2 linked regions of the Saccharomyces cerevisiae S288C genome follow. The protein of the gene in region 2 purifies or fractionates together with the protein of the main gene of each other region. This does not show direct contact. Each region holds a gene or a part of one and is shown on either strand. Other genes may lie near its edges.

Region 1 (5,082 bases), on a different chromosome or scaffold from region 2:
TTAGCCGACTCTCTTAGACTCGATTCTAGTTACCAATTGCATTCAAAGGCACATTTGGGTTACGAAAACAACTTGCCACGATCAAACGATCTAATTGATGATCATTTGATCTCAGATCAGATCATTGAGAATAACTACAACCTATGGTTTAGACTATCCTCCAGTTAAACGGCTTCACTTGCTTCGTATCTTCTTCGACTTGCCTTTAACCTACTCATGATTCATGCTTATTTTTTCTTTTTCGATTTCCTTTTCTAGTCATCCTAAAAAAAAAAAACCTACACATATACATATATACATAGTTCTCTACACATCCTTTTGATAAAGAAAATATGTACGTACATCTGCATTAAAAAAAAAAAACAAAACCCTCAATATTTGGGGAAAGAATTCTATAATGTAAACTGTATCACGCATACTTTTTGCTGTCTTCGTCTTCATACATATAATATTTTTAGTTTAAGGTGAAAGGATAATTAAAATATCAATTTCTAATATAACTACATACCACGGAACGCATTTTTGCTAGCTCTTCTTCTATTTTCGAATCTGGGCTTCGACCTACCATTGTCCTTCTTATTACCATTTTCGTCAATACCTTCTTCATCCGATGAATTATCATGACGCCTGGATTTATAATTTCCGTCTTTTTTGCTTTTTCTTTGAGGAATAAAAGTAAGTTCTGCTTCACCGCGTTGGTTACGACGTAAAATGGATTCATTTGATTTCTTTCCATTTTCCACCTCAAGCAATTCGCCTACTTGTTCGCCAAATGTAACGTGAGCACTTTCGTCTCTTTGCGTACTCGTGGAAGTGCCGGCTTTCATTTCGTTCATAAAACGTTCGCTTTGCTCCTTTTCCTTCTTTCTGCGTTCAATTAGTGCCTTTTGCTTTTCCATCTTTCTCAAATCTTTTTCACTTAATTCTTCCTTATTTGACTTTTGGTTCGTTTCATCATCAGATTCTTCTTCATCAGACTCTTCATCCTCGTAGTCATAGTGACCTCTGCCATCCTTCATTGCAATTCTTTCTTCGTCGGACTCTTCGGCAGCAGTTAGCGCCCTAATACGTTTAGCAGCACCTTCTTCGGTTTCTTTGATGGATTTTACTGGATTCAATTGTTTGAAATCATAGTCATCTTCATCGACTTGAAATTCTTCATCCTCAAACATTTCTTTGAAACGGTCATCCGTAAGAACCTTTCCTGCAACTTTATCACCACGTTTTTGAGATAGTTTATCAACCAATGTTTTATTGACTTTAATTTTAGGTTTTTGAACAGCCCCTGAACTTCTGATTCTGGATTCTCTTTCTTTCTCAATTCTACGTCTAATTTCTCTTTCTCTTTCATCTTTGTAGGCATCTGGATTAGCAATTAATGAAACCTTATCGTAAAGTTCAGTGTTAATAAAGAAACCATGCATGTATGCTCTTAATACTCTGGATCCCACCAAGTGCGTTAAATTCAATTTTTTAACGTCGTCTCTAGTAATGAACCTGTAGTTAGAGTAAACAGTGTCACTTGGTTTTTCTTCTAATTCTTCTGTGATAGAATCCAAGAATGAGCACCAGCGTGGAGATGGTCCTAAACTTGGAATATAATATGTATGCATGGGAATACTTTCGTTAGCGGTGAAAAACATACCTGTACCTGGTACATGCTCAATGTCGTTAATATCAACACTAGGCTCCATAGAAGCGTATGCCTTACCATCTAGTCTATCCCATATTTTTGCAATTCTCTTGTCACATGTAACAATTTTATTTTCCGTGCCGACGTTATCCAACCAAATAATTTTCTTAATGTCAAACCCATAACCTTGGTCTTTAATAATGGAAGGTTCAGAAGTACGCAAGTCATAAATGTATGAATAACCGTTCGACGTACCACATGCAAAAGTTAACCCGTCATTACGGAAACTGGTTGTGGTGACTTGGAATGGTCTGTTGTCAATATTGTTCTCTAAATATAGCTTTGAAACACGGGAACGCGACCTTGGATCCCAGAATTCCACTACATTTGTTTCCGTGCCTGCCGCTAACAACCCATTTACTTCATTGATAGAAACATGGTTCACGCCTTCAGTATCCAACTTGAATGGGTTTAAAAATCTCCCCTTTTCCAAGTTCAACCTGTATAACTCATTACCGCTCGCACCAACATATAAATCACAGTTTACCTTATTGTAAACTAAACTTCTCCCAAATTTAGGAATTCTTGTGGTGTAATGTAGACCACCTTTGTTTTGGAATTGAATACTTCTATCATTTTGTAAATGTACACTTTTAGTCCAATCGTCAGAGAGAATAGTGAAATCCACGTTTTCAGCATCTGTGTGTCTATCGAACTTCAGTGACAAATTAGCAAAATCGTAGACATGGATCTGAGGTTTGTATGTACCGGTAGCCATGCAATATTGCCCATCTCTACTCACTTTAATCTTATTGGAGGCTTCGCTAAATTCAAAATCTTGAATCAGTTCTACTCTATTTTGATATTCTAAATCATTCTTTAATTGCCTTTTGCGCTTTTTCGCAATCCAGTCTGGAAGTGATCTTGAAACGTTTGTACCAGAAACCTGATATACTGAAACATCATTTGCGGAAGTAGATTTCAAAACCATAATGTCCCCTTTTTGAAGATATATGTTGATACCTGTAACTGATGTAATAAATGATGTGTTACTGATTACAGCCGATGAGATGAGATGAGCTTAGCTCAAAATTTTCAATTTTTTTTTTTCTTAATTTTTTTTAAGATCATATTTGGTTACCCGACCATGAAGTGACATTTGAAGAATTGATTTATATTTTTAATATTGCAAGATGTGCGAAAACTCACCATTACAGAGATAACTAAAAGTCTTATCTCATCACTATCGGATCTTTCCACTTAGTATTTTCTACGGTTAATTTAAAAATCAATAATAAAACAAAATCATCAGCGAAAATTGTGTATATAGCGTGTATAAAAAATATATAAATCTTTAAAAGCATACCTCATTAAAAGCCTAAGCAGCAAAGTGTTTCAAAATTTGCTCAGCAGCATGAACACCACTCAAAGCCATAGCTCCAAAAGTTGGACCCATACGGTTTAATCCATCCAGTTCAGCAACTTCCATACCAGCAAAGTACATGTTGTCAACACCGGCGTATGCACCAGAGTGAATAACGACATCGTGTTCGGCATGGTTCATGTCCAGACCCTTCATACCGCCCAATTTTTGGTTTTGATCAATGTCGACGATTCTCTTGGCGCAGAAAGCACCAAATGGACCATCATGACCGGTAGTGGATAAAATGACACCATGCTTTTGACTCAAGTCACGAGTTCCGTCATTTTTGTAACCTGCCAATTCAATTACGTTAGGGTCCATGCAACATTGAGTACCGTGAGCTTGGGTAACTAACGTCCAGTTGGTGACAACACCAGCAACGGTGACTTCGCCCTTTTCGGTAGGTGGTCTGGTAACCAAATCTTCAACACAGGTAGCATTGAACAGTTTAACATTTGGTAATTGCAAGACCTTTGAAAGGACAGTAGAGATGAACAAAGCGGCATGCTTAACGACAACATAGTCACCTTCGTCTTCGTAAGGGATTTCCAACTCTTGTAAGAACAAATGAGCTGGTTTTCTCATAACCATGGCACTAAATAATTGACCACCCAACCAACTACCACCACCTGGTGCAACTGAACTTTCGATAATACAAACCTTCAAGTCTGGTCTGTTCTTGGCGATGACGTAAGCGGCGGATAAACCTGAAGAGCCCGCACCGACAATAATCACGTCAGAAACGGCAAACTTGTCAAGATCCTTGAAATAACGAGAAGTCATAGCACGAGAGACAGTGGATTCGCGGATGGGAGCAAATTTAAAGTCAGACCAATCTTCTTTCTTAACGATGTCAGATAAGCAGTGAGTAACTGGAGTAGAGTTTAAGTGCAATTGAGAGGCACTTGTGGAAGTAGCAGTAGAGGTAGCAGACATTTTGATAGTTAGTTGATTTTTTTGGTTGTGATTTATTATTTCTAGATGATAAGAAAGAGAACATAAAAGATATTTCCCGACTACTTAATACACAATTTATTCCAATATTTATATATCTGGGTAGTTCATAAATTGAAAATCAAAAAATCAATTTCATGATCCATTTCTATTAGTGCTCGTAAAAAAATTTACGATTGAACTTGGTAACTGATAGAATACCAGATTCTTTACTATCAATTATGTATGTTTTTTAACGTGCATAATTATTAAAAGACCATTTGATTTTAAAAATGACGTTAGGAGATCGGACATTTTATGAAAACTTCAGAAAAAGGGCTTAAAGTAGAGTATCGTTTTGGACGTCTACAGGAAAATGGGGTGGTAAATGTTCTTGGCGTAAAAAAAAACTATTCACTAAAGCAATTGAGTGCCGATCCCTGTTGAGGAATGCTCATAAAGAGAAAGTATCAGAATTATTCCCCGCCGTAAATTTGTAAAAAAAGGGTAAAAAACGGTTAATCCTGAAGGGGCTTGGAAAGCTCGCCAGCTTCTTGTAATTCTTGACGCCACATATAGCAATCACTAACGAAGAAGTTGACTTTTTAGGGGGTTGATAAGCATTTTTCCCACCCATTTGCATCAGTTAATGTCAATTCAGTCATGATTTGCAAGATATTAGGAGAAAAAGTATGAAAATTAAAAAAGTAATCTTGAGCGGTACGAGAATCGAACCCGTGTCCCCACCTTGGAAGGGTGGGATGATAACCACTACACTAACCGCCCGGGGTTAACTTGAAAGCTCTAAAAGCTCGTTTTCCATATATAGGCATGTTACAATTCCTTTCCATTCTTTCCATTTTATCCATTATCTGATGCATTTCCCTGATAGAATAAGAACAAACTACCATCCATCGATTAGTATTCATGTCACTAGTATATTAATTATCATTTATGATGTAAAAAGAGGACATAAAAGTTATAGAACAGTCATTAGGTTTAATAAAAGCTTAAATAAGAGGATCGATGAAATAGTAGGATAGTGAAACATATAAAATGGAAAAGAAATAATAATACTATTAGGTAGATATAT
Region 2 (6,437 bases):
TTGTCTCTTACCTGGGGGGACAATGTCTTTTAAAGCAACGATTCTGTCCAACAATGTTTCATTTTCATCAAATTCATCTTCAAAATCACTATCAGAGTCATCTTCATCATCGACAACGTCGTTGTTTGTTGCAGAAGCCTTTTCTTCCACGATGGCCTGATTTCTGGAAAATTGTGGTTCGTCTAATTGAACGACATCGTCTTTAATTTCAGTTAATTCGACCATTTGAATGATGCTTATTTTGGGGTATATAGTTCCGTTTTGACCTCTTTGGTTACTTCGTATTACTCCAAAAGTTACTCACTACGGAGTGGAGTATGTTGATTGAAATTGTCTAAAACGGGTTCAGTTTTCGCCGGCATAATCGTAATACTTATATCGCTCGACACGATTGAAAGGAATATGTAAAGGTTCAAACATCAACTATGTTTCTATTCTATATTATTGTACAAATTAAGTAAACGTTTAGCTATAAAAGGGTTTGACAAAGAGTAGAACGCTTAATTTGCAGCCTTTTTAGACTTTCTTGGTTTTTTCATAGCTTTCATCTCTTGTCTATAGATATCTTCAGCCTTTTCAGTCGTTCTCTTTTTACCAGTTTTTAAACTGACGACGCCTTTGGCCTTGGCAGCTATTTCTAAAGATTTTTGAGATTCAGCCCATTCCTCACTGTTATCATTTATGGCGTATTTATCTAAGTTCAAGGAGTTGATTAGCTCTTTTTGTTTTTCCCTCATCGCCTGAACGGCTTCAGAACCGGCTTCTTCTAAATCTTCTTCCATTTGGTCCAGTGCTTCTGCAGCGTTGTAATTTTTGATTTCTTCACCATCCATTTCAGCAATAGCATCATCTTTGATATTTGGTAGAGTTTCTTCAATTGATTGGCTTAACAGCTGACGGAAGTACTGAGACATTTTTCTCATGATCTTCGCAAACATAGCAATAGTTTGATTGGAAGGTAAATTCAATTCCTTGGCAATAGTGTCGATGTTTTTACGCTGTAACCCTATAGCCAACAGGATAGCACTCTGGACGCTTGATAGTTTTACTGAATCTCCCATTTTATCGCCGAAGTACAAAAGAGCAAGCATGGGTATCATATCACCGATAACGTGATAATCTAGCAAATTATTTGAGTAGCTATCCAATCTTTTCAAGTCAAATGGAGAAAAAATGTCATCCAGATGCGTCCGCGTCAATTCTTTATTATCATGCTTTTCGTCATCAGACAAATCTTGTGCTTTCTTACTACTTTCAATGACACTTAAGGCTTGAACGGCAGTAAACTTATGAAAATCATAAGAAAGAAGCGACAGAAATCTTTTACGGAAATCTTTGGCAAATTCAACGAGCCAGTTTGATTCTCTGCCTTCCAAAACGTTCAACATAACACAAGTATGTTCACCAGTTAAATCGTTTGCGGTTTGACGTAAATAAACAGGAACAAAGCTGTTATTCTTCCAGAATTTATGCAACGATTGCGTTAAACCATATGAAACACCCAAATAATGTAGATAATGAGGAGGCTGTTCAGAAAGTTTTAATAGTAGAGGTGGCAACGTTTTTGCGTCTCTTAATTTAACGTCATCCTTTAATAAATTAGTTTTGGCCAGTTCCTTATCGCTCACCCTCTTTATAGAATAATCCTTAGGACGAACATCTTCAGACATGTCAGTGAATTTACCCTCGAAATAGTCTCTCAGTAATTCAATTGCACGAGAACCATAGCCCATGGATGCGTATTCAGGATTAGTGGCAATTCTGACGATACGAGCACCACTCAAACTAGCGAATTCCTCGTCTTGGAATTGTTGAGAGATCAGCCATGGGATTAAATCACCACCAGCTCTTTGGCCTCTCGATAATGAATTTCTGACACTCTCCTTACTGATTTCACCTTCCAATGCAATTTGAATGACACATAGAGGGTCAGGGATCCTGCCGCCATCCTTTGGATCAATTGGTGGTAAAAGAACAAATAGTTTGTGCGCTGGGGCGTCACTCATCAGTTGTAAGTCGTTTGGAGAATTCTTGTAATGGGATGAAACGTACAGTGCCATCATTTTTTCCAGGAAATTTTCTGAGACAGGATGATAAGAAAATAGAGTATCTCTATTGACAACAAATAGATTACATTGGGATGGGTGAGGAGTTCCTCTTGTTGCAAATCTTGGGTTTTTAATTAAAGTAACATCTAAACATAAGAGCTTGTTTAACCATTTTTCAATTGGGTCACCAGGAGCATATCTGATTGGTTCGTCCAAGGAAATTTCACGTAATTGACGGGATTGAGAATGTAAGTGAGAGTCTTTTTCCTTATTATCTCTCGAAACAACGGCGGTTTGAGTACTTTCCCGACCGGATGTGTTGTTTTGATTACGCAATTGCTGAATTAACTTCAGAGATAAAGATCTACCCGTACCTTCGTAACCATTGATAGTGGATGCCATGAAGACTAGATATGGGCCCAGCAAGTTCTTGACGATTGGCAAAGGAATAGCTGCAGCTTCATCAATGACAACTAATTCAGCTTGGCCCAGAACTTGATGGTCTTGAGGAACAATATATTGAATCGTTTGTCTGTGATCTCTTTTAATATCAACTCTCACAATGGCTTTGTTGAAGTCGGGGTTCGTAGATTGAATGATATCATAATCAATGTGTTCTTGGTAACCTAAGGCATCGAATCCTTTGAAAATAAACTCAAATAGAGTCTTTAAATTTTCGGGAGATGGAGAAGTAACAAAAATATTAGAATACCCGTGAGAAACGGCCGCGGCAATAGAAATACCTAAAGCAGCAGACTTACCTCTACCTCTTCCAGCTGTTAGTGCAACTGTGAAATTCAAAGTTTTTTCCGAAATGGCATCAATGAAAGAAAGAATAGCGTGGGCTTGATTGACAGTTTTGGATAGAGAAACCAATGAACCAGCTGGTTGGACATCTTCTAAGGATTCTTTTAATTCTTGCAACTCTAATTGCTTTGGAGGCAATTCGTCATCTTCCTTAGGAGGTAGTGGTTTCACGTTTTTGGCACCAGATAGCGGTAGAACATTTAATTCATCATCAACGACTAAACAGTTTGGATTTGAACCTAAAGAAAGTATGAATCTTTCGTTAAATCTTGCAACAACGTCACCATGAGCCTCAGTACGATAACGGGCGTGAACATCCATAGTCATGGTGTACAGTTGCTTTAACGATGACATTGATTTCAATAAAATAACCACAATACCACCACCTTCTACAGTTTCAATGGTTCTTGCTAAAAGATTTGGGGTTAATGCCTCGAAGTCCTGAAGAATACACATACCATAGGTATTACCCAATATTTTCTCACTCTCTTTGTAGTATACATATCTGATATTTTGGTTAGAGATAAAAGATTCAAAAGGGTCCATTTCATTCACTTCCCTTGTACCTCTTTTAATTTCTTTCTTAATTTTATTCTCTCTTTTTTTTCTGTGCGAAGTGAATCCTAGAAGCTTCTTCTTATAAGCCCATAAGACGGACTTGTTCATCTTAAGGTCAGCACTCATCATCAAATAATGTAAATTTGGGAGCTGGTTACGTGCCCTGTCCCCAACGATGACAAATATGGACCTTTGTTTGGTTTGAACACCATTCCTGATCAGTGACGGGATTCTTGAATCGATAGCTTTTTTGGCCATTTTCTCCTTGTTTTATAAGTCTCTTATAAGTCTTTGCAAGTTAAAAACTAAGAAATATAAAAGGTGACTTGGCTTATATACTCTATTGCGTACTTTATTTGAGATAAATACAGAATCTCCATGCATCTTCAGCACCTCATCTCATCTCATTGTATCTTGGCTCTTCATTTTTTTTTTTCAAAATTTTTCACACGATTCCGGGTAAACTATTACTTTTTACAACTAATTCAGATATACCTGGGAAGTTACAATGGAAAACATGCAATGTTCGGTCTGGCTTGTATCATTTGATTGGAAAAGCGAGCATCGGTTGATACTGAACACATCCACATGCGTAATCATTAAAAAAAATTTTTCAAATTGCGAACTCTGTGGATCGAACACAGGACCTCCAGATGACTTGACCGAAGTTTTTCTTCAGTCTGGCGCTCTCCCAACTGAGCTAAGTCCGCTTATTTTTCTGAAACCTTTTCCGCCTTTTTGTCGTCCCTAGGAATTACTTTTGATGCACTGCCAATCTGAGGGAAAAATGACGTTTAAACGCACGAGAATGTGCAATTAGATGTAAGTCCATCGAAGCCTAGAGAAAGCGGTTCCAACAAAAGACTGTGGGCTCTGTTATATCATCATGTCATCTACCAGTGATAATAATGCTAATAGTGCAAGAGAGAAAAAACCACTGAAATTCGTGTCAGAAGGAGTTGGTAATGTAGAGGCCCAGAGGATACGAGAGCAAGTGGAGCAAAAAAAATATGAAGCGGAATATAAAAGGAAAACCAGGAAGTCCCTGCGAGATCAGCTTAGGTCTAATGCTATTAGTAAACAAAAACAATATAACGGTTTGGTGAGAGACCGTGAAAGTTTTACTAGGTTGAGTAAAGAGGACCTGGAATTTTACCAGAAGAGCAAGAATGAGTTGCTAAAAAAGGAAAAAGAACTGAATAACTACTTAGACGTCAAGGCAATCAATTTTGAAAAGAAAAAAAAAGCATTACTAATGGAGAACGATTCTACTACTAATACAGAAAAATATTTAGAGACCGGCACTAGTTTGGGCAGTAAAACACAAATAAAGGGCGTAAAGACATCCAGCCCTAAACCAAAAATCAAGGTATCCATAAAAAAATTGGGTAGAAAACTGGAGAACTGATGTGATGGCCTACACACTTCGTCACAACTAGAGCTTTATGCCAAGATTAAACTTCAAGTTATATAAATTATGTAAACATTGGACATACAAAACTCGGAAACTCTTTTTCTATTCATCTTCCCTTCTCGTACGTGCCCACGGAAGCAATAAAAAGAACCGAAATAACCAACACCCGTAACGTCAAAGCATTCATGCTTAGAATGGAAACCATTTCGTGGAATGAAATGGCAAATTGATCACATTGATTGCTCGTTCCACTACCTGTGTCCGCAATTTTTTAATGGTCATCACAGCCCCTGCTGACTAAAGTTCCTCGGATCCGCTTACGGTTGTCGCGCGGTTCCGCCCCTGCGTACTCTTAGTACCTAGCATATGGGCTCCCTCCGTTGGATTGGCATCGATTAGTAAGGACAGATGTTAAGGATTTAAGACCGTTTTTAAGGTATTTCGGCAATGCTTCGATTTAAAAGGAGAGAGTTTTTTTTTTGCCGTTTTCTTCCTCTCACTTCTTGATTAGTACTGTAATTCTAGTTGAAAAAAAATCGTTAACTATACACAGCAAAAAGCAATATCATACTGCATATCAAGCATGTCCGCCTCGATTCCAGAAACCATGAAAGCCGTTGTCATTGAAAATGGCAAGGCTGTAGTCAAACAGGACATTCCAATTCCTGAATTAGAAGAAGGATTTGTTCTAATTAAGACTGTCGCCGTTGCCGGTAACCCTACCGATTGGAAACATATTGATTTCAAGATTGGTCCTCAAGGTGCCCTCTTAGGCTGTGATGCAGCCGGCCAAATCGTAAAGTTGGGCCCAAATGTTGATGCTGCACGCTTTGCCATTGGTGATTACATTTATGGGGTTATTCACGGTGCTTCAGTGAGGTTCCCCTCAAACGGTGCCTTTGCTGAGTACTCTGCCATTTCATCCGAGACTGCTTATAAACCAGCCAGAGAGTTTAGATTGTGCGGTAAAGACAAGCTACCAGAAGGCCCCGTAAAATCTTTAGAAGGGGCAGTATCCCTCCCAGTCTCATTGACCACGGCTGGTATGATCCTTACACATAGTTTTGGCTTGGACATGACATGGAAGCCCTCCAAAGCGCAAAGAGATCAACCCATCTTATTTTGGGGTGGTGCCACTGCTGTTGGCCAGATGCTTATTCAATTGGCAAAAAAACTAAACGGTTTCAGCAAGATCATCGTCGTTGCTTCTCGTAAACATGAAAAATTGTTGAAAGAGTACGGTGCAGATGAACTTTTTGACTACCACGATGCTGACGTTATCGAACAGATAAAAAAGAAGTACAACAACATTCCTTACTTGGTGGACTGTGTCTCCAACACAGAAACTATTCAACAGGTGTACAAATGTGCCGCTGATGACTTAGACGCTACGGTCGTTCAATTGACCGTTTTAACCGAAAAAGATATCAAGGAGGAAGACAGGAGGCAAAACGTCAGTATTGAAGGAACCCTTCTATATTTGATAGGAGGTAACGACGTCCCATTTGGCACGTTTACTTTGCCAGCAGACCCTGAATACAAGGAAGCCGCCATAAAATTTATTAAGTTCATCAATCCAAAAATCAATGATGGTGAAATCCACCACATCC

The links.
Region 1: the proteins of KRE33 (region 2) and ENP2 purify together in Saccharomyces cerevisiae (affinity purification with mass spectrometry, with the first as the bait; 4 studies listed by BioGRID). This does not show direct contact.

What each region holds. Positions count from the first base shown.
Region 1 is NC_001139.9:779,309-784,390, reverse strand, and holds ENP2 (ribosome biosynthesis protein ENP2), read right to left. Parts: upstream 2,625-5,082; coding exon 501-2,624; downstream 1-500. Other genes in the region: ECL1 (Ecl1p), read left to right, coding at 1-168; THI4 (thiamine thiazole synthase), read right to left, coding at 3,012-3,992. UniProt on the Saccharomyces cerevisiae protein: May be involved in rRNA-processing and ribosome biosynthesis.
Region 2 is NC_001146.8:372,555-378,991, reverse strand, and holds KRE33 (ribosome biosynthesis protein KRE33), read right to left. Parts: upstream 3,672-6,437; coding exon 501-3,671; downstream 1-500. Other genes in the region: TOM22 (Tom22p), read right to left, coding at 1-225; FYV6 (Fyv6p), read left to right, coding at 4,300-4,821; YNL134C (uncharacterized protein), read left to right, coding at 5,411-6,437. UniProt on the Saccharomyces cerevisiae protein: RNA cytidine acetyltransferase with specificity toward both 18S rRNA and tRNAs. Catalyzes the formation of N(4)-acetylcytidine (ac4C) at positions 1280 and 1773 in 18S rRNA.